4 linked regions of the Drosophila melanogaster genome follow. The main gene of each other region encodes a partner of the protein of the gene in region 3 in a complex. Each region holds a gene or a part of one and is shown on either strand. Other genes may lie near its edges. The genes, in order: eIF3m, eIF3a, eIF3i and eIF3d1.

Evidence for each region.
Region 1: eIF3i (region 3) and eIF3m share a complex: the UniProt entries of both Drosophila melanogaster proteins name them as parts of the eukaryotic translation initiation factor 3 (eIF-3) complex.
Region 2: eIF3i (region 3) and eIF3a share a complex: the UniProt entries of both Drosophila melanogaster proteins name them as parts of the eukaryotic translation initiation factor 3 (eIF-3) complex.
Region 4: eIF3i (region 3) and eIF3d1 share a complex: the UniProt entries of both Drosophila melanogaster proteins name them as parts of the eukaryotic translation initiation factor 3 (eIF-3) complex.

The regions. Positions count from the first base shown.
Region 1 is NT_033778.4:14,161,493-14,168,064, forward strand, and holds eIF3m (eukaryotic translation initiation factor 3 subunit m), read right to left. Parts: upstream 3,334-6,572; 5' UTR 3,040-3,333; coding exon 2,995-3,039; intron 2,879-2,994; coding exon 2,699-2,878; intron 2,645-2,698; coding exon 1,706-2,644; 3' UTR 1,574-1,705; downstream 1-1,573. Other genes in the region: O-fut1 (O-fucosyltransferase 1), read left to right, coding at 1-88, 144-1,234; CG8323 (uncharacterized protein), read left to right, coding at 3,786-4,033, 4,097-4,232, 4,651-5,178; CG18327 (uncharacterized protein), read left to right, coding at 5,600-5,847, 5,927-6,062, 6,172-6,572. UniProt on the Drosophila melanogaster protein: Component of the eukaryotic translation initiation factor 3 (eIF-3) complex, which is involved in protein synthesis of a specialized repertoire of mRNAs and, together with other initiation factors, stimulates binding of mRNA and methionyl-tRNAi to the 40S ribosome.
Region 2 is NT_033777.3:4,427,722-4,436,553, forward strand, and holds eIF3a (eukaryotic translation initiation factor 3 subunit a), read right to left. Parts: upstream 6,175-8,832; 5' UTR 6,027-6,174; coding exon 5,978-6,026; intron 5,881-5,977; coding exon 4,796-5,880; intron 4,746-4,795; coding exon 2,507-4,745; intron 2,448-2,506; coding exon 2,398-2,447; 3' UTR 2,077-2,397; downstream 1-2,076. Other genes in the region: CG31525 (uncharacterized protein), read left to right, coding at 1-398; CG1074 (uncharacterized protein), read left to right, coding at 6,340-6,465, 6,934-7,729, 7,786-8,330; Lipt2 (Lipoyl(octanoyl) transferase 2), read right to left, coding at 8,682-8,832. UniProt on the Drosophila melanogaster protein: RNA-binding component of the eukaryotic translation initiation factor 3 (eIF-3) complex, which is involved in protein synthesis of a specialized repertoire of mRNAs and, together with other initiation factors, stimulates binding of mRNA and methionyl-tRNAi to the 40S ribosome.
Region 3 is NT_033779.5:4,964,446-4,970,812, forward strand, and holds eIF3i (eukaryotic translation initiation factor 3 subunit i), read right to left. Parts: upstream 3,331-6,367; 5' UTR 3,249-3,330; coding exon 3,246-3,248; intron 3,069-3,245; coding exon 2,579-3,068; intron 2,524-2,578; coding exon 2,036-2,523; 3' UTR 1,922-2,035; downstream 1-1,921. Other genes in the region: CG34124 (uncharacterized protein), read left to right, coding at 1-186, 243-830; CG34125 (uncharacterized protein), read left to right, coding at 1,291-1,377, 1,437-1,829; Scox (synthesis of cytochrome c oxidase), read right to left, coding at 3,562-3,923, 3,987-4,380; Polr1C (RNA polymerase I and III subunit C), read left to right, coding at 4,640-4,779, 4,840-5,701; l(2)05714 (lethal (2) 05714), read right to left, coding at 5,767-6,339. UniProt on the Drosophila melanogaster protein: Component of the eukaryotic translation initiation factor 3 (eIF-3) complex, which is involved in protein synthesis of a specialized repertoire of mRNAs and, together with other initiation factors, stimulates binding of mRNA and methionyl-tRNAi to the 40S ribosome.
Region 4 is NT_033777.3:23,677,338-23,684,447, reverse strand, and holds eIF3d1 (eukaryotic translation initiation factor 3 subunit d1), read right to left. Parts: upstream 4,410-7,110; 5' UTR 4,258-4,409; coding exon 4,059-4,257; intron 3,937-4,058; coding exon 3,301-3,936; intron 3,232-3,300; coding exon 2,939-3,231; intron 2,863-2,938; coding exon 2,308-2,862; 3' UTR 2,131-2,307; downstream 1-2,130. Other genes in the region: CG18754 (uncharacterized protein), read right to left, coding at 1-64, 319-391; CG16710 (uncharacterized protein), read right to left, coding at 564-993, 1,066-1,678, 1,870-1,945; GILT2 (Gamma-interferon-inducible lysosomal thiol reductase 2), read right to left, coding at 4,608-4,712, 4,771-5,064, 5,190-5,354, 5,421-5,480; GILT3 (Gamma-interferon-inducible lysosomal thiol reductase 3), read right to left, coding at 6,097-6,210, 6,284-6,592, 6,811-7,038. UniProt on the Drosophila melanogaster protein: mRNA cap-binding component of the eukaryotic translation initiation factor 3 (eIF-3) complex, which is involved in protein synthesis of a specialized repertoire of mRNAs and, together with other initiation factors, stimulates binding of mRNA and methionyl-tRNAi to the 40S ribosome.

The sequences.
Region 1 (6,572 bases), on a different chromosome or scaffold from region 3:
GTAAACTTAATTTTACTATTAATAAGCTCAACATGTGCCCAATTGGGGGGCGATCCCAATGGCTACCTCACCTACTGTCCGTGTATGGGTAAGTTTCACTTGGAAGCAACCGAAAAACGACAACTAAACCGCGCTTTTCAAAGGACGCTTTGGCAACCAGGCCGACCACTTCCTGGGATCATTGGCCTTCGCCAAGGCGCTTAATCGCACCCTGATCCTGCCGCCGTGGGTGGAGTATCGTAGGGGTGAACTGCGATCCCGTCAGGTACCGTTCAACACATATTTTGAAGTGGAGCCCCTGAAGGAATACCATCGCGTCATCACCATGGCAGATTTCATGTGGCACCTGGCCGACGACATTTGGCCAGAATCGGAGCGAGTGTCATTTTGCTACAAGGAACGATATAGCCTTCAGCAGGAGAAGAACGATCCAGACAAGCCCAATTGCCACGCCAAGGATGGCAATCCTTTTGGTCCCTTTTGGGACACTTTTCACATAGACTTTGTGCGGTCAGAGTTCTATGCGCCACTTCATTTTGATGTGCATCATAGCAACGAGGCTGCCAAGTGGCAGACCAAATATCCTGCAGAATCATATCCCGTACTCGCGTTCACCGGAGCTCCGGCTAGTTTTCCTGTTCAGCTAGAGAACTGCAAGCTGCAGCGCTACTTGCAGTGGAGTCAACGGTATAGGGAAGCATCTAAGGATTTCATCCGAGAGCAGTTGCCTCGGGGTGCCTTTTTGGGCATTCATCTGCGCAACGGTATCGATTGGGTGAGAGCCTGTGAGCACGTCAAGGATAGCCAGCATCTGTTTGCCTCGCCGCAGTGCTTGGGCTATAAAAATGAACGTGGTGCACTCTACCCGGAGCTCTGCATGCCCTCCAAGGAGGCGATCATCCGCCAGCTAAAGAGAACCATTAAGAACGTGCGCCAAACTCAGCCGGACAACGAAATCAAATCAGTTTTCGTGGCGTCAGACTCCAATCACATGATTGGTGAACTAAACACGGCCCTTAGTCGCATGGGCATCAGTGTGCACAAGCTGCCGGAGGATGATCCTTACCTGGACTTGGCCATTCTCGGACAGTCGAACCACTTTATCGGCAACTGTATATCCTCTTACTCGGCATTCGAAAAAAGGGAACGAGATGTGCACGGTTTTCCATCGTACTTCTGGGGATTCCCCAAGGAAAAGGATCGTAAGCATACAAACGTGCACGAGGAGCTGTAATGGAGCAACAGGATTATCTACTTAAATACTCGAATAGGCTATTTTTCGGTTTTCTTTCCTAATACTAGACAGTTTTATTACATTGATTAAGCAATATTCTGGACTTCACTTCTTAAATGGTTAAGGTAAAAGTTTCAACTTACAAATTTAATGAATTTACTTTTGAATGTTACCAATATTTAGTGCTTTTAAAGAATATCAGTATATTTATGTTTTATTCTTTTAGCTTTAATTCTTAAAAAGGATTTTAATGAAACCCGTTAAATGCCTTCAAAAACACTACAACTTAATTGTAAGCTATTAAAGTATTCCTCGCATTTATGAAAACACTTGTTTGCTACCGATTTTACTTATAAATTTATTCAAGTTATCCAGCCCTCTCGCATTCTTGAAAATAATTTAGGTCGTCACTCCAGTGCCCCGAGGCCAGCATTTGTTCATCATCAGTGCAATTTTTTGGAAGTGGTGCGCCTAGTGTATCAGCTTCTGGGATCGAGCCAGATCCAGTTGCGCCGAGGAGACGCTCGTTAGACCCTCGCGCACTGTGCTGAGGTTCTCCTTCCATGCCTGCAGCAAATCGCGAAGCTGCTCCCATTGTGGTGCTCCAAAGGTTCGGTGCATTGTCGATGAGATGTGTACCTTTTGATTGGCCTGATCTAGTCGTGCGCGTACCAGCTTTGTTTTCAGCACCTCGATGACGAAGGGCTCCACCTCGTCTTCGTTGATCTGCAGCTCCTTGGTAAGCGTTTCGAATGTCATCTCCGGGCTGCTCTCGGCCAGCTGCATGAAGGTCAGCAGACGCATCTTCTTCATGTTCTGCTCATGGTTCAATCCTTGCGAGTTGACAAACTCCCTGTGATCCTCGTAGAACTGCACGTACGCTGGCAGCTTCTCGGACACGAAGATGGACAGCAGGTCGTGGATGAGGTCGCCTTCCAAAAAGCGCACAGGCTTCAGCGACAGCAGAGGATCCAGCAGGAATGTATTGGGGTCGGCCAAGGCAGTCACAATGCACTTCATGGCATCCTCACGGGCAACACAAGCATTGTCCGCCGTGTAGGTGCCCAGCAGCTCAATCATAACCTTGGAAGACAGCTCCAGGTTGGTGTCCTTGGTCACGTCGTGCAGCAGGCGGTACAGCTTCTGCATCTGTTCCGACGAAGGTGGGCAGTTGGCAAACTGGGATTTGAGCTGATCCACACCTGAGAAGACCTCCAGCACCTGTTCGCACTGCTTGGCCACCTGGACCAGGTGGTAGTACACATGGTAGCGTAAGGGAGAGGCGGTGTCCAGGTTGTTGAACAGACGCCACAACGACTGAAGGCACACCTTGCCCAATGGAAGATTGGGAGCCTTGGTCATCTTCTCGCAGTAGGCCAGGACAATGTTCTCACCGCGATCCAGGGGTATCTGAAATATTGAAGGTTATTTTTTGTTGCTAATATTGTATTCTGTATTACTCACCGTGATCATGATGGACACAATGCTGTTTAGAATTCCATCAATCTGCGAGGGCTCACCATCCTTAAAGCAAACGTCGCAGACGCCGATGATCTTGTGCAAATCATCCTCCACACCTTTATTGGACTTCTCCGATGAGATTTCGGCTCCCAGCTTCTTGAAATACTTGCGCAGCTCTTGCACCTTTTAATAAATTGCGAATAATATTAGTTTTGTTTTGCAGCAAGAGGAAGACATAACCTCAATTCGGGCAAGGCGCCGCCCGAATTCATGGCTAAAACAGGGCACTTTCACTCTACCTGCTCGTCCAGGGACAGGTCTATGAAAACCGGATGCGAAGTCATGGTTTTGTTAAATGTTATTCCACTTTTTTAAACAAATTCAGCTGAAAATAACACGCACACACGTCTTCGGCGCTTTGACAGCTCGAAAGGAAAGAGAGCGACCAGTGCTGCCGGCCTGGTCCGTTTCCCGCTAATAGCGATGCTCTCAAACAATTGACCGAATTAAATTAAGATGACGTTAACGTGGCCACTTAAAATATATAATATTCCTCTGAAATTCATTCAGTTCAATAAAATTAAAATAGTTATGGCTTTGCAAGTGTATTAATGCTGACATAAAAATCAATTTTATAAATGTTTTGACGGGACTCTAGCTAACAATAAATGTGGGCAAAAGTAGTGTTCCCGGATCTTCTGAAACATATAAGTCACTAAGTGACTTCTTAGCCGTACCGTTACTAACGTTCTAAAACCCGTTTCTCCTGAATTTTAAATTTACCATCCAGCAGTTATTTATTTTACATTTATCACTTTACAGTTAAGCAAAATGACACGATTTTTGTTAAATTGTTAATTTGGCGACAGTCTGGCAACTCCGCTGCTACTAAGTTATATTGCTCGCCAAATTTATATTATATTTGTATAACGGGCGAGAAGAGCAGGAGTAATGCCAGCTAATCGGGGCGGAGAATTATGAAATACACGACACACACGCAGCGTGCGGCTTCCTAGAGCCACAGAGATTCCGCAGCAGGCGGTACAACCGTTACTAGTCAACCACTATCCTCAGCAGAACTCGTGATTACATGGCTACATCGGATTTTGTTCTGGGCGGCCTGGCCTCCGTGGGGGCCACCTTCTTCACCAATCCCATCGAGGTGATCAAGACACGGATCCAGCTGCAGGGCGAGCTGGCGGCACGGGGTACCTATGTGGAGCCCTACAAGGGGATTGTCAATGCCTTCATTACGGTGGCCAAAAATGATGGCATTACGGGGCTCCAAAAGGGCCTCGCACCGGCCTTGTACTTCCAGTTCATCATCAATTCCTTCCGGTGGGGAATTATTTAGTAGCTATATTTTATAATTATTAATCATCTTGAATTTACATTCGCCAGGCTCAGCATTTATTCGGAGGCAATGGAGAGGCGGTGGATGCACAACCGGAAGGGTGAGGTGTCCTACGGAATGGGACTACTGTGGGGCGCCATCGGCGGCGTCGTGGGGTGCTACTTCTCCAGTCCATTTTTCCTGGTACGCCAATTGTGGGAATGCTGCGGGAGGTTACATAAACAAATACATAGTTTATCTAAATGAGCCGCGTGCTCATCAGCATTATGGACCTTCCACAGATAAGAGACTTTATTGGCAATTGTCCATCAGTATCTAAATACTACCATTTCAAGATATCCAGGGAGAAAGTATTATACTTCCAAATATTCCATATTTTTTGACTGTTTATGGTTGTTTGCATTGCTTATTACTTTATGACATAACGCATTTATTGTTAGCCTATTTATACCAAGACATTTTCAAGATCTAGAAACAGAAAAATATTCGCTAAATAACTTAATAAGTATTGTAAACATTAACATATTATCACAGTCAATTCTCTTATGTACAATGTCTATATTTCTATATTATTATTTATGGTCCTTTCTTTTGCATCCAGATCAAAACTCAGCTGCAATCACAAGCCGCCAAGCAAATCGCCGTTGGCTACCAACATGCCCATACTTCCATGACAGATGCCCTGCGTCAGATCTACTCCAGGAATGGAGTACGAGGACTGTGGAGAGGATCTGTGGCCGCATTGCCCAGGGCGGCTTTGGGATCAGGTGCCCAGATAGCCACCTTTGGTAAGACCAAAGCCCTGTTGGTCCAGTACGATCTGGTGACCCAGCCCACGTTGAACTCCTTCTCGGCTGGCTTGATAGCCGGATCCATTATGTCGGTGGCCATAACGCCGCCAGATGTAATCACCACGCGTCTGTACAATCAGGGCGTAGACGCCGAAGGACGCGGTCTTCTTTATCGCGGTTGGCTTGACTGCTTTGTGAAAATCCTACGATCAGAGGGCGTTTATGGTATGTACAAGGGGTTCTGGGCCAACTACTTGCGCATTGCCCCCCACTCAACCCTTGTGCTGCTATTCTTTGACGAGCTGGTCGCCGTACGCACAAAGTATAGTAATCAATGACCCCAAAGATCACTGGCTAGGTAGCATTAATTTAAGTACAAAATTGTTAAAATCGTTTTTACCACCCGGAAATATACACATTGCTTTTTATTATTAAGCCAAGCTTTGATAAACAAATTTGATATGCAAGTGCCGCCGCATACAATTTGTTTGTCTAAATCTGGCTTTAGTCTTTAGTGAGTTAGCTTAATGTCCTAGTTCCAATCTCTTAGATTAGCAAAGCCCCAGAACCAACTTGTGCCTTCATTAAGCTAATTTAAGAGCTCTTCCTGTAGCCATTAACCGTGCAATATTTTGGTGAAATAAACCAGTTTAACTGTTACATTTTAACGCATATTGCTCTCAAGTCTTAAGCAGCTAGCTTATCGCAAGTGTGGCGTTAGTGATCACTAGATTGTGATACAGAACGGACGTCTCATTGATGGCTACGTCGGATTTTGTGCTGGGCGGCGTGGCTGCCATGGGCGCTGGTGTCTTCACCAATCCCGTCGAGGTGATCAAAACTCGCATTCAACTACAGGGAGAGCTGGCCGCCCGAGGATCTCATGCTCAGCCTTACAAGAGTGTCTTCCAGGCCTTTGTGACTGTGGCCAAAAACGATGGAATTCTTGGCTTGCAAAAAGGATTGGCTCCAGCGCTATGCTTCCAGTTTGTAATAAACTCGTTTCGGTAGGTTAAAGCTGTTTGTTATCCTACAAGGAGTTTTCCAAAAATATACATATGTGCTCTATCTCTCTATCTGCTCTAGATTGAGCATATACACCCATGCCGTAGAGAAGGGTTGGGTCCACAACAACAAGGGCGAGATCTCATTCGCAAAGGGCATGTTCTGGGGCGCTTTGGGCGGCGTTGTGGGTTCCTATTGTGCCAGTCCCTTCTTCCTGGTAAGCGATTATGTAAATCAAACACTGAAGGTGTCTGCTTCCGCGAATATGTGACAATGTCTAGCCGTGATAAGATAAGGCATCACTGATAGCTACATTTCCATTCTAGATCAAGACGCAACTTCAGGCACAGGCAGCCAAGCAGATCGCCGTTGGTTATCAGCATCAGCACGCCTCGATGAGCGATGCGATTAGGAAGATATACAGGAAGAACGGCGTCTTTGGACTCTGGCGAGGATCGTTGGCGAATGTGAGCCGTGCCACTGTTGCGTCCGCCGTTCAAATCGCAGTTTTTGGCCAGGCCAAGAGTTTGTTGAAGGAAAACGGAGTGGTAACTCATCCCACAATCCTGTCCTTTTGCTCTGGCTTAGCCGCTGGGTCATTTGTCTCGCTGGCAATCACTCCATTGGATGTGGTTACCACTCGTCTTTACAATCAGGGAGTTGATGCCCAAGGTCGTGGCATTTACTACAGGGGCTGGTTGGATTGTGTGCTTACGATCCTAAGATC
Region 2 (8,832 bases), on a different chromosome or scaffold from region 3:
CAATTCCGATGGAAAAGGAACCTGATCACGGTGCAGATTTGCTGTTGCCACGACCAGTTTTCAATAACCTGGAGAATGAAGTTAAAGTCAAATGCTTCAAGCCTTCTGAGCTAGCTAGAAATCCCAAACCGCCTATTAGGATTTTTGGCATAACAGGCTTCTTTGTCCTAACTGGTACCAATGCTCAGTTGTCTTTTCACATCGGCCAACTTGCGATCAGAGGCGTTAGTGTCCAATCATGTATACATCTGCAAACCGAAATGATGGATAAGGTGGAGGAACAACTCGCTAAGCTGACTATGGACCGCAAAAGAATCCTCAACAAAATGCATAACAAGCATGCAACACTTGCACAACGTCGAGCTCCGCCAGAGACACATCATCAGGGTAAAAATTAAACATAGGCATTGACATTAAAATTAAATTACAATGTAAATAAATACCGAAACCGGAATAAAAATGTAGCTTTAGAAAGCCTTAACACGTGTCATAAATGACTTAACTTAATCATTTAAACAAGATTTCTCTAAAACTATGTCATGAATTGCACAATTTAACTTCATGTTTTGCATTACAAAGATTTTTTCTTTGGGCTGGGAAAGGTTGTCGATATATTCAAAATTATGTTTATATTTTCCTGATAGTTGTTGCTTAAAACTATTATAGTTTAGTTGAATAGTTTTAAATTTAAGTTCCATCTACAATATATTGATGTAAATACTGTGGCCGCAATATTGAAAGCCTGCACGAAAGGTGTTTTTTGACACTAGATACCAAGATTTCCTAAATGGTAAAATTAACATTTCGAAAATTGAAGCAGTCACATACCCTCTACTATACGATTGACGGGTGTAAATGATTTTAATCAATCTTCAGCGCCTCTGCATCACCTACACATGGACCTGGAACACAAAACACAATAGTTTTAGCCAACGACAACAATAACAAACATGCCCACACAACGACGATGGCGGAAAGAAGAAGCAGCAGTAGCAGCAACAGCACATGTTTGCCCCAACCACGTGTATGTGTATGTGAGCCACGATGGGCGCGTGTGCGTGTAAATGCCGCCACGCCATGTGCTTTTGATACTGCACTCCTTGGCGAAAAGCAATCGAGTTGAATGAATACGTTTCGCAGGTCTTGCCTATCACCTTGGCACTTTGGTTTCGAAAGCCTTTCTCCCCAAAGCTCAGCGGATTCGCTATCGCATTCGCGATGTCCAATCTGTGGCACGCGCCTAGCAATATTACCTTCTGAGCTTCCGTTGTGGTTCCGGATCACCTATTTCACTCGAAAAAGGGCTTCCCCAGCCGAACGCTTGTTCGTTCGGATTTTTGCCGCCGTCTGCTTTAACCTCACATGTTGAGCGCCGCGTCTGCAGCACTAACACAAGCACACAAGTCCGGTGCCCAAAAGGGCTTTTTCTTGCGGCAGTCAAACTGCGTCTTTCTGTTCCGCCCGAAGATCACGATCACCCGCGGTTTAAGATGGGCCAACGTCACTGCACTCCAAAGCAACCCGCAATCACTTTATCTCATGAGTACCGTATAGCACATTGTCCAAAATTTGTTCACGTGGACCGAGATTCGCGGCAGCGGCACAGACAGTGTGACCAGGGGCGCGCACCGCGGAGGATCCGCGAGGCCATGGCATTAGTGCCAAGTTCGCAAGAAAATACTAGTTGAGTGTGCGAAGAAGGCGCGGGCTCATATTATCGAGGCAAATTTTCAGAGGCAGAATATTTTTGTTTTGCTTGCTATAAAAGCTTTTCTAAATTTACTCGAATTTATTCCCAACGAATATGGTTTTACCTAAGAAAGATGTCACTTTTTTAAAATAAGTCAAGCGTATGTGATAATACAATTTACAATACTTTTGAATGCATTTTTTATTTATGGGCAATTAAAAAACCTAATGTTAAAAAGCCACGCTTCCAAGAACGAACTTTGTAAAACTATAGAAGAACCCGCATTTGTTTAGTTTGCAAACTACATTTTAATGTAGTTTTAGCTCTGTCGAAATATAAATTTAAAGGGACTGGTTTATAAATCACTGTACGTATAAGGGAAGCTTGGTTCATCCTGAAATCTGATAAATAAGAATTAGAATTTTTGAATTAAACCAATAATAACCACTTTTCATTTCTTTGATTCCCAAGGTTCTCATTCGACAATTTCACTTTTCAATTTTTTAGAACATAGTTATTTTATTCGAAAGTACTTTAATTAGTATCGGTCCTACAACCATCTCAATTTTAACTATCTGGCACAAGCTTTGGATAGATAGATATAATATACCGGCCGACTGAGCTCTACACCAATAAAGTACAAGTCGGATGAAATAAAAACTTATTAAGAATATTATGCTGGGTATATACGATGATGAAAATAAAAATTAACGACGCTTAACGCTGGTCCACTCGCCATCATCGCCAGCTTTGTTCTCTGAAAGATGTAACGCATTGATAAGAATGGAAATTAGGTTTGCTGCTGAGATTACTTACCCTTTTCCTGGGCTTGATCGCGCTTAGCTGCTGGTTTTTCCTCACGGGTCGCAGGAGCAGTACGCCAGTTTCCGCCTACTCCGCCACTGGCTGCCTCCTTAGGAGCAGAGCCGCGTTGATCGCCACGAGTCTCGCGCACATCTCGGTCGCGCCTCTCAGCTGGGCGACGGGTTTCCCGATCAGCGTGGCGTGGAGCGTCGCGCCAGTTCCCTCCAGTTTCCCGCTGAGGCTCGTCGGTACGACGCGCCCCGTCGGCGCGGCGGAATCCACCGCGCTCATCGTCACGATCCCGGCGAGGACCATCGTCACGGTCACGCCGAGGCCCATCATCCCTGTCGCGACGAGCCCCATCAATGCGGAAATCGCGGTCACGTTCTCCGCCACGCCGCCACTTGTCATCGCGCGATTGCGGAGCGCCACTGTCTTTGGGAGCAGCTGCACGCTGTGAATCTGGCTCTCGTCGCACACGCCAAGAGGAGTCCGCTCCCTCGTTGTCCTTGCGGTCACGGTCACCGCCTCGTTCAATGCGCTCTCCACCACGCTCGAGGCGTTCTCCACCGCGCTCGATCCGTTCTCCTCCGCGCTCGATACGCTCGCCACCACGGTCGTTGCGTTCACTGGCCGCAGGTGCAGCACGACGCCACTCGCTGGATCCGCCGTTAGATGCGCTTGGACGGTCACCGCCTCGAGGACGCCATGTGTCACGGTCCTTTTCAGTGCGTTCGCGCTCCGAGGCCAACTCCCTGGACAGGCGGTCTCGATCTTCCTTGATTTTACGCTCAGCTTCCTCCTCCTTGGCACGCTGCTTTTCGTATTGGGCACGACGCTTTTCGTCCTCAGCCTCACGCTCCAAACGGCGGGCTTCTGCTGCGGCGCGCTCTTCGGCAGCCTGTGCCAAGCGAATCTCTTCCTCCTTGCGAAGACGCTCCTCCTCTTTCTCGCGAAGGAAGGCCTGTCGGCGCTCCTCGCGGCGTCGAATAATGCGGTCGGCTAAGCGCTTTTTGCGCTCTGCCTCCAGAGCAGCCTCAAACTTTTTGAGCTTTTCGACGTAGAGGGAGGCACGTTCTTTTTTAAGGGCCTCAAGGAATTCATCCCGGTCCGGATACATGCGCTTGAGACGCTCCTGCTGGGCGACGGCATCCTTCCGTTCGGCAATGGCATTCTCGATGCGTGTCTTCTCGGTTGCTTCCCAGAACTCCTTGTCCTTAACCTGCTTTTCGGCCAAGTATTTTTCGAAAAGCGGTATCTCCTCCAGGCGCTTGGCGCGTTCGAAGTAGTCGATTTTCTTCTCTTGCGATTTGAGTTTCGACTGCAGTTCCTTGGCCTCGCGCTGAAGTTCCTCGCTTTCCCGCTTGGCGATCTGCTCGGCGTCCAACTTCTTAATGCCTTCCTCATCCAGCTTGGAAAGCATCTTCTTACCATGAGCCGTCTGCGAGATTTGCTGAACCTTCTCCTTGAGACTCTTCTCCCGGATGGCTTGGATTTCGTTCTGATGGCGCTTGCGCTCTCTTTCTTCTTGCTCCTGCTCGAGGCGCTTCTGTTCGGCCAGTTTGGCCTTCCGCGATTCCTCCTCCTGACGCCGCGCCTCTTCCTCTTCACGAGCATTATTCTGCTTCTCGATGTACTCCTTTCTGTCCTCGATGATCTTCTGTCGCTGAAGAATACGCTGGTGCTCGCGATCCTTGATCTCATGGTAATGGTTTACCATCTGGTTGCGGAGCTTGGCCCGCTGGTCACGTTCACGGTTCGGGTAGACGATTGAAACTGCCCGTGTCAGAACAGTAGACATATTAACCAACTGAGAGCGGATCTGTTCCGAGGGCATCGATTGCAAAGCGGGTCCGTCGGGGCGGTACTCGCGTTGACTCTCGGTCAGATCAGTGCCGAAATAGATACTGTTCTTCTGGTGGTCAATACGAATCTGCATGTCATTGTGACGCACGGACTCGACCAGCAGTTTTTCCAATTCAAAAATGTTGCAAAAACTGGCCAGCTGCAAGAGACGCTGGAACTTAATACTCTCATAAACCTGAGAGATCTGACGAATCAGACGCATTATAGTCACGTCCTTCAGCGATTGAATGTAAGGAGTGAGCAGAGCGTTTTCGGGCCCGTTCTCAATGAAGTCCACGATAGACTGAATGCGCTTGCACAGATTCAGTGGGTTGAAATCCACCTCCAACCAGTTGTATAGATTGCGAAAGTCCTCAGATACGAGTTGAGGAACATTCAAGCGCACCTGTGTTTATGAATTAGTCATAAGTCATTACTATATTGCGTGATACTTACCACTTCACGAATAAGGGAGACGCGAGTAGGTGGCTGGGGCAGGCCCAAAAGCACGGCCAACTTCTGCGCCTTCTCCAGGGGGCTCTTGTCCGCCTCAATAAACCTGTCGAACTCTGGATGGGCCGAAGGCAACGGAATAGAAAGAGTGGCCAGGAGAACGTGGGCAGCCATACGCTGCAAGTCGTCCTTCGTCAGGTTCTTCTTCAGCTCGCGCGTCAGCTGGAAGAGCTTCAGCAGCGCTGCAGCGTGGAACAACTGGTTGCCGGCCTTGCTAAAGACCATGGCTAATTTTTGGTAGTAGTTGGCCATGGTTTTGGGCACGGGTGTCTTCTTGGACAGAGCCATCAGGCCATGGATATCCTCGATTGCCTTGTAGGCCTCTTGCCACAGCTCCATCTGGATGGCCGAGTCAAGAAGGTACAACCTGGTGTCCAAGCAGAGCTGCTGCGTTTCCACCTTGTTGATCGAGACACCGGTGGTCTGGTTGCTGCTCTTGCAAATGTCCTCCAAGTGTTTGCGCAGCTTGTCGCACAAGCGGCGAAACTCGCTCTTGCGGTTGTACTTAAGGCAGAACTGGAAGGCCATGCGAGCGATATCGTGGTACAGCGCCTCGCAATGCGTGTTTACGCGCAGCAGCTCTAGACACTGGCAGTAGGACTCCCACAGGAACTTGACCCACGGGAGCAGAATAGTGCGGTCGGAGCGGTCCTGTGCGTCCTCGCCACACACTGCGCTCATTAGGATGCTCTCTGGCGTGGCAATGTTGTCCAGGTCATCCAGCTCCAGAACAGCAACGGCCGCCGAGGACTGGGCTTGGGCAGCCTCTGTGTGCTCTTCGGCCATTTTCAGGTAGCCGCGGATTACATTTTCCAGAGAGTTCACGTTCACCAGCTGGAACATGTTCCGGTACTGGAATAGTCCCTCCTTGGCGATGTGCGACTTCTTGAGTTCCACGCAGAGGTACAGGTACTTGAACATGAGCGGTTCGATGACCGTCTCCGAGTAGGCATAGTTCCATCGCTTGTTCCGGAAAACTTCCTGCAGCGTGTCCAGCGCCCTAAGCGGCTTTCCCACTTCAATGAACTCTGTGACGAAGAGAGCGGCGTCGAGTTAAGAGAGCACACGATTCGCGAAGACGAAAGTTTCTCTTCAGACACCGCATGGAAAATTTTCAGCACTCACCATTAGCCCTTTTTAGGGCGTTTTCCGGACGTTGCGTATAGCGGGCCATTTCCGATCGCTTTACTTACTTGCGGCGGCACTTCAAGTTGATTTTGATAGCAGGTCTGGAGCGTTTTGAGACCTGGGGCTGCTGAAAATTGTATAAATCTTCGGCTCGCCTACGTGTGGCTGCAATATTAATGCAAAATGGCCGAGTCGACGGCACGCAGGGCTACACCTGGCTGCGTTATCGATAGTTCAGGCCGATAGTTGCCGATGGTCAGCTAATCGCAGTGCAACTCCGCTAGCTCACAGCAATAACACGAGGAGTAATGAAGTCGCTCTAGAATATAAATAAACAATTCATTAATTAAAATAGCGACATGGTCAACTGGAGGAAGTTTATCTTGTGGTTCGCCCAGGAGCATGTCGACTTTCGCGTGCAGGAGTTTGATTCGCTGGTCAAAATGTTTGGACTTCAGGTCCGGCGGCTTACAGAACACACCAGGGTAAAGTGTTTTAGTACCAGAATTTTGAAAACGCAAGATTAACAAATTCCACCTCCCCTATAACTTTTAAAACCTGTGGTTTAATGTTATATCCAAACTTGGAATTTTATTAATATGTTTAATATTTTTAACGTAAAAAAATTTTATATGTATTTGTAAGAGGAAGAAAATAGTAAACTATATTTTCAAAAGTGTTTTCAACAGGTAGAAATTTAGCATTACTAGCTATAAATTATATACGATCGTTGAGATCTCAGGAACTACAAAACCTAAAAGGTTTCGAAAGGATACCTGATACCTGGTATACATACATTACGAATACGATCCGCGTACCTGTTAGATGTTTTTAGTGTAGGATACTTTGATTACATTATTTTTAGAGCTTGCGACACATATATAAATACTTCTGTAGTATAGAAGCATCAGCATATATAGTTATATTTATATTTTTTAATTTCGGTATTACAGAAACCATTTTGGTTGGTCGAATTTCGGGACACGGATACTGCGTTGCTATATGCATCCAGGTCCGTTTCGTTGCGCGCCATGTTCGAGCTCTACGCCCACTCCAACAAATTACCCGAGTTTCACCAGAGGCTACGGAATCATGTTACCGCGAACTGGCATTCGCTTGCGGAATACTTTCGGGTGGATGCCAGTTTTAAGATCGTTGTGGAGACCTACAACAAGCACTTCAGCCAGAGGGAAAAGGTTGAGAAAATCGAGTCCATGGATTACCTGCCAATAGAGGGAACGGTCAATCTGGAGAAACCCGTGGTGGAGTGGTGGTACATCGAGTTTTGGGGCTTGGATCCAACGGCTGTGCCACCTGAGCCGGAGGACATTCTGTTTGGTCGGCTGATGGCCCATGGTCAGCGGCATTTGATCAAGGAGCTTTCGCTGAAGCATCGTAAGTTTATCGGTAACACCAGCATGGACGCCCAGCTGAGCCTGCTAATGGCCAACCAAGCGATGGTACGCAATGGGGATCTGGTATTTGATCCGTTTGTGGGAACGGGCTCGCTTTTGGTAAGCGCCGCCAAGTGGGGCGGGTATGTCCTGGGAGCGGACATAGACTACATGATGGTGCACGCCCGCTGCCGGCCGAGCCGGATAACCCAAAAAGTGCGGGAGAAGGACGAGAGCATTCGGGCCAACTTGAAGCAGTACGGCTGCGCTGATCGCTACATGGATGTGGTGGTGGCCGATTTCTCCAACCCGGTGTGGCATTCCCGCATCTCGTTCGACTGCATAATAACAGATCGTAGGTTTATTCTTTTTTATACCAAACTTAAAATGTTCATTCTTTGGTAATTTAAGCTCCCTATGGAATAAGAGAGGCCACGGAAAAGGTGGAGAAAAAGGCTAGCGTAAAGGCCAACACTAGAAGTGACAGCATGGTGCATTACCCATCAACGTCGCACTATTCCTTGCAGAGTCTCTATGGGGATCTTCTCGAGTTCTCTGCGAGGCACCTAAAACTGGGAGGACGTCTTGTCTGCTGGATACCCTTTCACAGCGAGGACTACGACCCGAAGATGCTGCCACAGCATCAGCATCTGAGCCTGATAGCTAACTCTGAGCAGCAATTGACTGGGAATACAGCTAGGCGGCTACTCACCTATGAAAAGTGTTTCGAGTATAGTCCAACAGAACCCTTATTGTGCAGCATAAAACAGGTGCCAACGCCCTCGCAGGACTTCAGGGATCGGTACTTTAATAATGCTCTGGAGTCACGCAAAGAGCGTCGAATGCGGAAGGCAGAGCTGCGGGAACAGGCTCGTGTGGAGATGAATGCACGGGGAAAGATTCCTACGGATGGGCGCTCCAAAAAGTGTGACCTGAATAAAGCTCGATTTATGTGATCTCCATTGAAGTGTAATTTATAGTAAGATATAACTTCGATTCGGGCCAAATTTTTTGTTGGCTGTGTGTCGCTGAGTTTTCTTGTATGGCATACATTTCGAAGATTTTGATTCAGATTTGGACAAAAAAAAAAATAGATAAATACGATTGACAATGAGTCTATATATGTATATAGTTATAATGTTATTTTAATATTTTATGAAATACATAAATCTAGTTTACAAATTTCCATTTCGTAAAAGTTGAGATAACAGAAGGCCAGGAAATATGTATTGATGCATAATTTAAATTATAAATGTTGAAATAAACTTGGCGGTCCTTTATACATCATATGTATCCAAATAACCATATTATCCGATTTCAGCAGAACTTGCTGGTTTTTTGGCGTGTTCCTGAAGGCGGCATTCGAAAACTTTAGCGAAACTATTGAGGAGTGCGCCACTGGCCTCCTCGACAGGAAAATGTCTGTCCAGCTCTTTGCTGAGCGAGGTGACCCCCTTG
Region 3 (6,367 bases):
GCCATCCTCAATGTCGACGCCTACATGCTGCCACCCATGCCCGATGAGTTTATCATGGATCGCGTACAGACCATTGTCCAGAAGAGTTTCAATCGCTTCTTTGGGAAGAGCACCACTCCGGAGAATGTGCGCAAGTTTGCCCAGCGCTCCTCGCTTTATTTGTGCCAGGCCGCCTACAGTTTCCAGGTGATTAGATCTAAAAGCAATTAGTTTACTCAATCTTACCAAAGGTTATATTTTAGGGTCGGTACACGGATCGCATAGCCGAGTGCATAACGGAGCATCTGCAGACGTTTGTGCCGAAGAAGTACTTCATCCACATCAGCAACGAGGAGCTTCGCAAGCTATTCAACGAGGTGGTGGCTGTGTTCGACTACGAACGCTCTGATGTGAACACCGAGGAGCTGATATCCGGAATTTTCGATCACGCCAAGGACTCGCTGTGCGCTCATGTCCATATGGGCGACTCCGAGGTTGTGAACCGCACCCACTTCATCGTCGCTCACATGTTCAAAGAGCTGATTGAGGTGCTGCCGCTGGAGGAGTTCCAGGCGGACGAGACCCTGCGCATGATTGTGGACGTGCTGGAGCGTGAACCGATGGTGGATCCTCGAGCCATAGCCGTGGAGCAGCTGATCGATAGCACGCTCCAGCACGCCCGGGAGAATCTGATCGATGGGATTACAGCGGTGCCCATTCGCAGCCTGGGAAGCTCCATTCAAAGAGACCTGATAAAAAGGCGGCAATATAAGCAGCCCAGTTGCGAGTCGCCCATGTCGGTGAGGATCGCCACGAAAAAGCCAGGAACCAGCAGTGGGCTTCCTTTCTAGACATCCATATCAAATACTTTGGTAGAAATTCAAAAATTAATTATTTTTGGAACTTGACAACATCGATTTACAAAAAGTAACTCAATACATATTTTTTTGTAGACTTCACTTTGAATTTCGAAAAAGGTGACCCAAACATGTATATTTTACCATAGAACATCTTTAAATCTGATTTTGAATTATTTGTAAAAGCGTGTGTTTCAATAACTGGCGTCCTAATAGCACAACTCAAAAATTTACTAATAAATTGTGAGGGACATATTATTCCCATTTTTTATTTATTTTAAAACGCCAAAGAAATAAAATAGCAATTCGCGTGCAGAAAATAAATTTCGAATAAATCCAGATCTGACGGGAAAACTTTACGACATCACTAATCTCGATGAGCTGACAACCCTGTTTGTGACTCAGAGAAACTGCAAGTAAACAAAGTGCAACTTCAAATTACAGACGAGATAAGATGTCGAAGCCATCAAAAGCAGGTCCACCAAGCGAGGGAAGTGCTCCCGCTTACGACTATCGCCATTCCGGCGATGACATGGCCATGGTAATAAGTTAATTTGATTATCAAATACCAGTCGCCATCTAAAGTTTTGCGACTTCTAGCGAGCTCCTCCGCCAACGTATGAAGAAAGCCAGCGAAACGGCGGCACCGGTGCTGGTGCCTATGGCTATCCACAAGGAGGAGGTGCTCCGCCCAGCCAGAATCAGTATTACGGCATGATCAGCCACCAGCAACAGCAGATGCCCTTCAGCGGGCAGCCCAACTACGGTATGACACATGGCAGTGGCTTCGGACTTGCTGGTCCCAGTACGTCGGCAGGAGCAGCTGCAGCACAGGTCCTCCACTTGGACTCACGGGCCGAGGTGAGGACAAATTCCAACGGAAATGTCGTCATTCCGCCTCCTCCGCCGGGCTGCCTGCCCACACCGGCTCAGTGGGCGGCCATGCAGGGTCAGCCTGTGGTTCTCAAGCAAAAAAAGCGTTCCTTTTTTTAGGTTACACATGGCACACCATTTACTCGAATATAATCATGTTGTACCTCTTTCCACTCCTTTGATGTTATAAAAATAAACGACGCGATCCGTTTCGTTTCGTCCTCGCGTATATTTGAAAGTTCCCTAAGCAAACGAACATGTCGCCGGTGAAATGGTTATGTTAAGTCCACCGGCTCTGATCCTACTAAATCACTACTGGATACAAACTACTCGAAGATGTTCTCAAAGTATGTACTATCGAATGTCTGGACACGCACGAAACCATCTTCTCCGCCCGAGGCGTAACTCTTGCCGTCCGGATGGAAGGCCAAACTGTTGATGGGTCCGAAATGGCCCTTGAGTCGGGCGAACTCCTCCTCGTATATCAGGTGGAAGAAGCGCGAGTCAAACTTGCCAGCCTTCGTAGACGTAGTGGTCACCTCCATGGCATCTTGACCGCCGCCCAGCACGACATGATCCATGATTGGGCTGATGGCCGCCGAGTTTACTGGACGCTCCGTTTTGTAGGTCTTGAGGCACATCAGGGACTCCGAATCGAACAATTTGGCGGTGGTGTCCTTGGAGGCGGTCACAAACATGGTGCCATCCTTGCTCAACTGCATGTCGTTGATGCCAGCGCTGTGATCCGTGCCAGAGTCAACCACCTTTTGACCCTTACGGATGTCCCAGATGGCAATGTTGCCATTATCGTGACCTGGAAATACGGGTTTTAAACGGTTTTCATAATAGATTATCGGGTAAACACCAACCTGTGATGATGGTCTCATCCAGAGGACCCCACAACATCGACGTAATTTTGGACTCGGTCATCGGGATGCGGAGTGTGGGCTCCTGCTCCGACAACGAGGAATCGGCGTTGCGGACATCGATGAGGAACAGTTCACAGCTCTGTCCCATCGCTTTGTCCGTTGAGTAGGCTGCCTGGTTGCCCGAGAAGCTGAAGTTGCTGGTGCGCACCGATGACTTGGTCGGAATGGAGGCGATAACGGTGCCGTACTCGACGTCCCAGATCTTAGCGGTCATATCACCGGCGCCGGTGATGAGCTTACGGCTCTCCCAGTCCACATCCAGGCACCAGACCGCACCCTGGTGACCATCGTAGGTGCCCAAACGTTCTCCGTTCAGCGAGTACCACACATTGGGCTTCTGATCCTTGGAGCAGGAGAAGAGCAGGTCGCCCTCGCGGTTGTACTTGATTTGCGTTATGGAACGCTCGTGGCCCTGAAGCATCAACGGACGCTATAAAAGACAGAATAATACGAATTTTTAGCAACAATTTAGGCCGCTTTTAAGGTTATGTTTGGTCCGGAATTTCACACGACTTTCACACTTTGCAAATAGTTGTAATTTCGGGTAAATTCTAAAGAAACCCATCCGGAATAATGCAAACTGTGTAGTCATTGACCAGGCACGCACCATTTTGTATTATATTGTTATTTGTTGCGAGAAAACGAATATTTTTGCAACAACATCCACGCAGCACTACACGCCAAAAGAGCAGTGTGACCGTGGCCTAGTCAAAATCTCACTTCGATATACCAGGGGGATCTAAAAAATACCGTTAATCAAGTTTATTTTGAACAACCAGAAATTTTTACAATCTAGAACTTAAGGTATAGCCAATATAAACGAAAATTTGGATTTAAAACTTGATATACATCAAGTAAAAACCATATTTTATGCCATACATTAAGTAAATACAACGAAACAACATTTGCCTAGCTTAGCCAGCCTAGCTGAACCATCCCTTTTTGTTCATTGAATTCCACTTGGCTATGTTCACCAAAATGGATGCCACACACTGGTCCTTGTCCCGATTTTGGCCGTAGTAATCGACAAACTCGCCATCGGGATTGACCAGGTACATGATGATGGTGTGATCCACAATATAATCGTTGTCCTCGTCCCGCGGTCCAGCGCTGAAATAAACCCTGAAGGCCTTGCACACTTTGCGGATTTGTTCGACGGTTCCCGTGAGTCCCAGCAGTTTGGGGGAGAACTCTTTTACGTATTTGGCCACCACCTCTTTGGAGTCACGTTCTGGGTCAACGGTGATAAAGATGGGCTGCACTGCTGGCGTTTGCGGGGACTTTTCTGTGAAGGTTTGAGAAACATGGTTTTTTTTGGGTTTGGAAGAAATAGTCAGGCTCTACTTACCAACTTCATCGACGACGGCGGCCATCTTCTCTAGCTCATCGGGACAAATATCCGGGCAGTGGGTGAAGCCAAAATAGATGAGCAGCCACTTGCCTAAGAAGTCCTCCGATTTGCGAACAGCTCCCTGCGAATCAACTAATTCCCAACTGCCGCCGATGGCTGCTTTTCCCAATTGCCGCTGACGCTCCTTCATTCTCGCCTCATCCTTCTCGCTCTTCACGTACAGCATGAAGCCCACTCCTCCGGCTCCAAGGGCTCCAATGACGGCCAGACTTCTCCAAGAGATCGGACCCTTGCCTTTAGTGGAATCTGCGGGAGCGGCATAATGACGAATTGCGGGCTGTTGTGCCCAGCGACGACAGCTGCCCACTAAGCGTTGCAGGGAGCGGGACATCTTACGCCCGGTTTCAGAAATTTGAAGGCTTTACGTAAATCTTCTGGAGAAATAAAAATATCGCCGGTGTCCTGCTGCTTCTTCCTATTCAGCCAGTCACGGCGAAACAGCATTTATTTAGTACATAAAGTATATTTATTTAGTATATTAGTTAGTTTGTTAGTTAGTTTGGTATATTTTGGTATTAGAAGGCGGTCTTATTGATTCCAACACGTGCGGTTCAATTTTGTTAAATTATTTAATAAAAACACCGGGGCAAATGGCAAGCAAAAATCGCAAGGAGCCGCTTCTGTACATGGAGGAGTATCGGGTGAAGCAGGATCCGCAGGACTATGGACTGGCGGACGATGTATTTTCCGTTCAGGCTTTCAAGGAAAAGCTGCACATCAAAATCGTCAGGTAAATCTCAATAGAAATTAGAATCTTACGAGTCGATTAACAATTGGTGTTCACTTCTAGAAACGACGAAGACGGCCTGGAGTTCGATCTGATTGGCGTGTATCCCGCCATTGCAAATGCCTTCCGTCGCCTGATGCTCAGCGATGTGCCCAGCATGGCCATCGAAAAGGTGTACATATACAACAACACCTCGATCATCCAGGACGAGGTACTTGCCCATCGAATGGGTCTACTTCCGTTGCGGGCTGATCCCCGTCTATTCGCATACCGCACCGAGGAAAGCACTGAGGCGGGGACCGAGCAGGATACGCTTGAATTTGAGCTGAAGGTGAAGTGCTCGCGGCGACGGGATGCTGGAAAAGATCAGTCCAACTTCGATGACATTTACAAAAACCACAAAGTGTACTCGGGTCATCTGAAGTGGCTGCCCAAAGGAAAGCAGGCGCAGATATACAGCGAGAGTGCTGTGAACTGCATTCACGATGACATACTGATTGCCCAATTGCGTCCGGGTCACGAGTTGGATCTGCGCCTGGTGGCGGTTAAGGGACTTGGACGGGATCACGCGAAATTCTCGCCGGTGGCCACGGCCACCTACCGACTGCTGCCCATGATTAAGCTGAACCGCGAGGTGACCGGTAAGGATGCGTACCTATTACAGAACTGTTTCTCACCAGGAGTAATTGGCATTGACGAGAATGAAACTGCCTATGTAAAGGATGCACGCTACGACACGTGCAGCCGAAATGTGTATCGCTATCCCCAGCTAAACGACGCTGTGACTTTGGCCCGTATCCGAGATCACTACATTTTCTCCGTGGAATCAGTCGGCGCACTGAAGCCCGATGTCATCTTCCTGGAGGCGGTCAAGGTATTGAAGAGAAAGTGCCGGGCGCTAATTGACGAAATTGAGGCAGAATAGTTATTTATTTAGTTGTTAAAGAAATTATATTATGTACATAAGACAGCTTGATATAAATTGTAAGCCTACGAAGATCGTGCTTGCTCTCTCTTGCGCTTGAGCACCTTCAGGCGAAATTCCGTTAGGACCACCTGCAGACGCTCCTGGCACATTAGTGCGTCCTCCAGGTCCATGTTGTTCAGCTGCAGAGCCAAACTCTTGCCAAACAAGTCAAATTCACTAATAATGGTGTCTTCCGTCATCGCGTCGACTTGGTATTCGTTATTAATCTCCGTATCTTCCGGCTTGAGCTGTATCATCTCTTCCTCGTAGACCACCTCTTGGTCCTGGAGATCTGTTTCATTCTGTTGTACTTCGAGGAACTCGTTCTCAACCTCAAATTCTTGCTCTTGATAGGGCTGATCTGTTCTGAGTAAATCATCCAGGATTGAGTCGTTCGAGGCGATTTCGTCCTCCTCCGTCTCCTCCTCCATGCTCTCCACCTTCGTGTCGTTCTTGATCTTTGGCTGCATTTTGCTCCTTGGCTTTTGCCTTGGATAGGTCTTTGATTTGGCTTTGGGCTTTGCTTTGGGTGAAATTATGGAGGCCTCCAAGTCTGGGTCATGCTCATCTTTGACAAGTTCACCCTTAATCATATTCTGTAGGTATAAATACGGAGTTGTTAAT
Region 4 (7,110 bases), on a different chromosome or scaffold from region 3:
ATAAGCGGCGAGCAGCTAACCAGTCTGGTGCATTTCTCATCCTTTTGGCAGCTTGATAACCGAACTATAAATTACAAAAATAGATAAGTGAAAGCCCCGATAAAGTATAGCAGTACGAGTCTATGTGGAAATATTATTATTATTATTATTTTTGAATATGATTTATAATAAAACGGATCGATGGATATGATAATTTTTATAATTCATGGGGTCGAACGTGACCTATTCACAGCACACATCCTCTGCAAGGATATTATTGAGCAAGATATAACATCTTCGGTTTTTTACGAAAACTTAAAAATCATTGCTTTTGCTTACCACACTCAGCCAATTGGTTGAAGAAAATGGCCTGGAGAAGGACCAAAATATAAACTTTACGTCTGTCCGACATGCTAGACATCCAAACTCGATCTGACACTAAATATACAGAATAAAATGGATCAACAAACTCATAAATCCCAATGACTCAATGAAATTTCCTAATTTATTTTTGCGATAATTTGGGCTCAGTGCCGGACAATAAATATTTCTTTTCTTAACCAAATTCTACTATTTTGATTATTTCATTGGAATATATTAGTGTACATGTTCCATAGAATCCATTCAACGAATTTGGATGTCTTTGTGTAAGCTGCTGGTCCGTATCCGCACTGACTGTACCCGTAGGATGTGATTCCGGCTAGATATACGAATTCCTCGTCACCACGTTCCATGATGGCCATCAGCGGACCGCCGGAATCGCCCTTGCATGTGTCATTGCCTCCCAGGTTGCCGGCGCATATGTGGGTCTCCTTGTCCAATCCCAAGGATGGTTCACTCAATGAGCACTCGTCCGCGTTCCTGCCATTGACATAGGCCTGTAGCAGCACATTGCTATAGCCCTGCTTATGAGAGAGTCCCCAGCCAGCTATTTGCAACTTATGGTTGCTGAAGGACGGATTCGAGAAGATATAGTCAAGTTGAACACAGATGGGTTTGATTTGAGCGGTATAGCTAAAGACATATGAAATGTATATATATATATATATATGTAGTAAAAGATATGACAGGTCAAGTGCAACTAACCGTACTGGAAACTTCAATCGCAGCAGGGCGATGTCGTTGTAGGGCCTTTCCTCGAAGACCATGTAGTGCCTATGCTTGATACTCAGATCGACGTCAATTTCCAGATGCTCTGGAGCGCAGTGTTCCCTACCATTAATATGGGTGACGCAGTCGGGATTGCTTAAAATGTTATGCTCGCCAAGGCGCACCCTCCTGAGATCCAATCCCGTTATCCTCAGACAATGGGCTGCGGTCAGCACATAGCGGTTTGTGATCAGGGATCCAGCGCACCTGGACACGAGTCTTTCATTCCACACCGAACGGCTGCGATGCGCATATAGAATCAGGGCCATCCAAGGCAACTCGTTGGGTTGCGTCTCCTCTCCTCCGAAAATTCGATAAGCCGGCATGATTGGTCCACATATCTGGGTATTTGGCAAAATGTGTCCCATATTTGGGCAGCAGATGAGAACTCTGTCCAATAATTCCTGCCCCTTGGGGCCATAGCCGCAATATCTGTCCTCGAATACCGCCTTCTCGGCTGGCGTCATGTTGTGGGGCTTCAGAAAGGGCAAGAGTGATGTGCAGCGGGCTAGACTAATGCATTTCTCATCCAGATTACAAGGCGGATATTCTGATACAGTAAAGAATTGGATATTAATAAATATTATATTATGTGAGTCATTTTAATTGGATGTTTAGATAATGATTGGACGAAACAAAGCTATTTATATTTTAAAATTCAAGGAAATACCCATATCCAAATGAATCATTTTCTTGAATGTTATAACGTATACAATGTGGAGTACTTGCAACATATATTACCAGACTCAGCCAGGTACATCAGCAATTGAGTATGCAGGACCAGGAAGGATATGTACACTCTTTGTAGGAAGACCATCTTTAACCGTCAGAGTTTAAACAATGTCTAAATCTTAACTAGATGCCCGACACGCACAATCAGCTTACTATATATGAGTCCGGGAAATGAGTCAGTCATTTACGTACAAGACCTCGGTGTTTCAGTCGAAAGTTTTTATCACAAGTACCCGGCATTAGACCTGGACCAATAAAAATTCATGTATTGTTTCGCCCTCTGTGATTTACTAGGAAATATCTGAATTTAAATCGAATACAAATGCTTAAGCTAGGGCCTATAACATGACCTTTTCCTTTAGAGGACATCAGTTGTGGTTATTCTTAGCGGGTTGTGGCAAAAGAGCCCAAGACTGGAAGGGATGCAGGAGTAGGGGGGCGTGGCGTCTAAATCTTGTTGTGCGCGTAGTTGTAGACCTGCTGGAAACCTTCGTCATCGCCCTCGCCATCGTCCGAGTCATCGGAGTCGAAAGTATTGTCTGGGATGTCGTACAGACGGATGATCGGCTTGTTGGGGTCCTTCATGATCAGGTATTTGCCATCCTTCTGCTTCATCACCAGATCGATGATGCATCTCAGGATTCCCCAGGCGTTGTCCATGCTCAGGTTGATCTGAGTGGCAAATTCATGCGGCTTGAACTGCTGCGTGCCGAGGATGACGTGACGCGAGTGATCTCTCGGATTGATACGCGACACATAGCCGAGCTTTAGCTGATCGGACCCGGCCAGGACGGCCTGCACAGTCCACTTGGCCAGCTTGCATGCGTTGTTCCTCAGCTCGTTGGCGAGCACAGCACCGCGCTGCGTGTCCAACTTTTGACGCCATTCCACGCCATTGGCCAACTTCGAGTCCCACTCGTTGAGTGCCTTGATAGTCATGAACTGCGGCTCGCCGCTTGGCGTCTGCAGGACACCATCGTGCTCGCAACGCGCTACCAGGACCTAAAAGTATAAGACAATAGTTTAACATAATATAGAAAAATATTCCAACTTTAAAGTTGGATTATGCAACACTTACAATATCGCTTCCCAGCTCCCACTTCTTGTAGCGGTAGCCCACGCTGGCGACTTGGATATCTTCGTCCTCGCTGATGAAAGGGTTGCTTTCCTCGAACTTGTATTTGGGTTCCTGGTCTCCAGTCTTAAGCACCTGCTGGCTAAAGTTGTGGTTAATGAAAGTCGCCTCGATGGCCAGGTTGCGAGGGGAGTTGCATGAGCTGTCGTCGTCGGTCGGTGGTTCCACGCTGCTCTCGTTCACGGTCAACAGATCGAACTCGGTGTGGTCACGCTTGTCCATGAACACCTTGTCGCCTAAAATAAGGTTACAATTATTATTTATTTCTCTTATTATTATTATATTTCGTATTTCATTTAACATACCAACTTTCTCGATGACAATATCCCAGGAATAGTTCGATCGCGTAGAGCACATGATGGTGGCCAGGATGGCGTCCGTGGCGAAGACATTGCCGACGGTCTTAGACAAACGCCGGATGACGGGATCGTCTGTGGTGGTCACCGTATGCACGATGCGATCGATCTTCTGCAGCGGCTTCTCGTTCTTCACATTGATGCGGTCGTAGGTCTTGTCGTAGTACTCCAACGTGCCGCAGGTGACAATATCGACGCCCTCCTTGATGTTGGGCAGCGACAGCTTGATGAGTCGCGGGAAGTCCATCTCCTCGATGGATGCCCAATCGGCGCGGACGGCCACCGAAGATTCGCGCATCTTTGGTGGTGGTCCGCGATGACCGAACTTCTTGCCCATGCCGCGACCATGGCGCGGATCGCGGGCCTTTACATTCTTGCCGCTGAGCGTCGTCATGCCGTGAGTATTAAGGCCACCGCGGGCATTCCTGCCACGACCGGAACGCGAATTCCTCATGTTGCGGAACCGGCCGCGCTGGTGCGGCGGCTTCTGGACGCGGGCCGTGTCCACCAGGTGGAAGGTTGTCTCGTCCTCCTCATGGTAGTACGAGTACTGAATGCCCGTGCCAAAGCTGGAGGCATACTTGTCTGCGAATGGAATACCAACCACCAATATGTTAGCAACAATATCATGCCACGACACACCTACCTAACCTCACTTTCGGCGATTAGTATTTTGTGGGTCGGTTTCGGGTGGGGAATAAACTCACTCTGGTACTTCTTGTCGTTGTTCGACGTATTCGTCCAGTCGCAGATCTTGCCCAGACGATCGTTCTTGCTGAACGGCTGGTACGGCACATCCTTGAACGTATCGGGCAGCTCGCAGGGACCCCAGCCCTTTTCATTGAACTGCACGGTCGGCTTCTCGAAGCTCGGGAACTGAGCCGCGGTGTTTATGGTCTCGCTCATCTCGCGCGTTTACCTGGTGCTCAGTCTGCAGTCGGCTATTCGGTCTATATACAGCGATTTTCCAGAAATCAACAAAGAAATGTGGAAAATTCGTATCGTCGCGTGTTGCGAAAATAGTTGAGTGGGACCGTTGTCGCGTTGAAATATACCACCGCCAAAGAAAAATACTAAAATCGTAGCGAATGTTCAAAGGTCTGGCAGCATGCTGTCATAGATGGCGCCACTGCTGGGCGGGAAAACTAAAAATTCGAACTATTCATTTTTCAGAACCTGATTTTACGATTTAATTACAAAGAAAATGCAAAAAATATTTTTTAATAAAAAAATGTATTGTTAAATGAACACAATATTTATTGACAATTATTTAGCTGCTTATTGAACTTTTCCTTATACTTGGCGCAAAAAATGGCATCAAAATGATCAGTTAAGTTTGCTGATAGATCCGCGTTATAAACCTTAAAATCACAAAGTTTTATTTTAGATTTCATGAATTTCTTTCGCATTTAAACTCACGTTATCCAGAGCTACGGCTGGCACTCCCTGAAATGAGACCTTGGCCGTTTCCTTGCCGTACTTCCTCAGAATGTCGTTCACCTGTCGCGTTTTCTTGCAATTTTTGACATCGCCCACGTCGATTTGATAGTGGTCAGCGCACTTTTCCAGCCTGTTCTTCTTACCCCTCATCATGCAGGCGATCAGCTTGAGGGATTGGGCAATGTCATGGTGCTCCAGTATGCAGGCGTGCCACGCGTTCAATTCGCACTCCATCACTCCGTGCTGGCACTCCACATTTCCGTCATCGTTCGTCTGGAGGGGATTAAGCGAAGTTTAAGTGCGGATTAACGCTGATTGACACTCTAAAACTTCAAATTGAGCTATACTATGTACTTGTACTATAACTACTAGTTTAAGCTACGAAAAATGAAACCTACCCTGGCATTTCCATAAGGAACCAGCGTAAGATCAGTGAATGGAAGTCGATCCTGACGGACCATCGAGGGATTGAGCTGCGTGGTCACGAACTCCATGCAGTAGGGACACAATGCTTCGTAGTACAGGGTGATCGCCAGTCGGTCAGCTTGCGGTCCGCGCAAACGCTGCAAAGTCACGATCAATGGGAGCGTCGCAATTCGGGATTCAGTCCGATCAACTGGGTCACTTACCCTTGGCGTGGCCACGCCCACCCATCCCAGCAGCAGACACACAAAGACAGCCGCCCTCATGGCAAATTCAGTTTAATCCCGAGCTGATCTTGAAATATTCGGCCGCTCAACGCCAGCGAACGCTCGACACTGAAATAATTCCGGGACTTGTAATGCGCAGCGTTGTCACTGCGTTTCGTCAAATTCGAAGCGGCCAGTGGCGTGGTTAGAAAATGCTCAAGGGGGGCTCAAAAATCATATAAGTTAAAAAAAAAATAATTATTTGTATTGCAATAGTAGGGTGACTTTTCGCTTGTTTTTTATAATTTTTCTGTAATATATCCGCTTTTGAAAAAATTAATATAAATATATAGATAAAGGGTGTGACTAGCCAACCAATTCGACGCCCCTGCTGTCAACCAGCATTTTCCCCTTTACATTTATGCGCTGACTACGGAAAACTTACTGAGCAGCGGGGTTTTAATCTTATTTTTAGACCACCAGACAGCTGTTTCTGATTAGAATCTGTATACAAAAACATGACTGATAAGCTGATATGTATATACTATACACATGTAAATTTTTATTGGCCCCAAGTGAGTCAGCGAGTAAGCAAACACTCCAGTTGGTTATAATTATTGTTTATTGGTCTTGGAACATTGAAACAGTTAAATTACTCAGTACATTACATAAAAGTTTACAAAATTGCGGAACAAGTGGGCAGTTTGATGTTGAACTTTTTCAGATACTGCCGACAGAAGTGTCTTTCGAAGTTGTTGCGAATGCTTCTCTGGTCGTAAGGATCAAAGTCCTGCGGATCAGAGGGTAATGTTAAGTTAAGTCTGGTATTTGATCATGTAAGCCTGGTTGGGTTGGTTACTCACATTCTCGAACACAATGGTGGGCACAAAGGAGATGCCCAGTTTAAGGGTTTCCTTGCCGTAGGGCGCCAGTATTTCTGCCGTGGTTCGGGATGCCTTACACTCCCTGGCCTTGCTGACGTCCACACCCATGCTCCTCGAGCACGGGCCCAGCTCATTCGAATAGGAGCGCAGCATGCAGTAGATCAGATTGAAGGCCTTCCGAATGTCCAGGGTCTCAATAATGCAGGCATGGAGTGCATTTAGTTCGCACTCATCCACGCCATGCTGACAAAATACTTGGCTCTCGCCAGTGGATGTGTTGTTGTAGAACTGCACGTAACAAATTCTGGTTTAAAACCTCAAAAAACATGAACTATTTCACGATCTACAAACAAATTGTGTGTGTGTATTTCAGTTTATTGCTGTTTTTTTTTTAATGTAAATACAAATGGTTTTCGAAATGAACTGCTAATGAATTCGAAATGAGTACTAAAGAAATGACTATAGTATGCATAAGAATTCTATCATTTTGATCTTAGCTGACTCACCCCCGCCTTGCCAAATGGATATAGCTTTAGATCGGTGACCGACCACCAGTCGTTGTCCTGCAGAGCATCGTACAATCTGCGCCGGATGAAGCTCATGCTGTCCGGGCACAGGGCCTCGTAGTGAATGGCCACCAGGAGCCGGGACTCATCCGGGGACTGGCCATTTCCGGGCGTGGGCCAAACGAGCAGCAGACACAGGGTAAACAGTAGCCCAAATATTTTATTCATTGTCCGCGTTCGTTTTTCGCTCTTGGCAGCCTCACAAACCAAACACAACTGCTCTTTTCAACTTGCCCATTT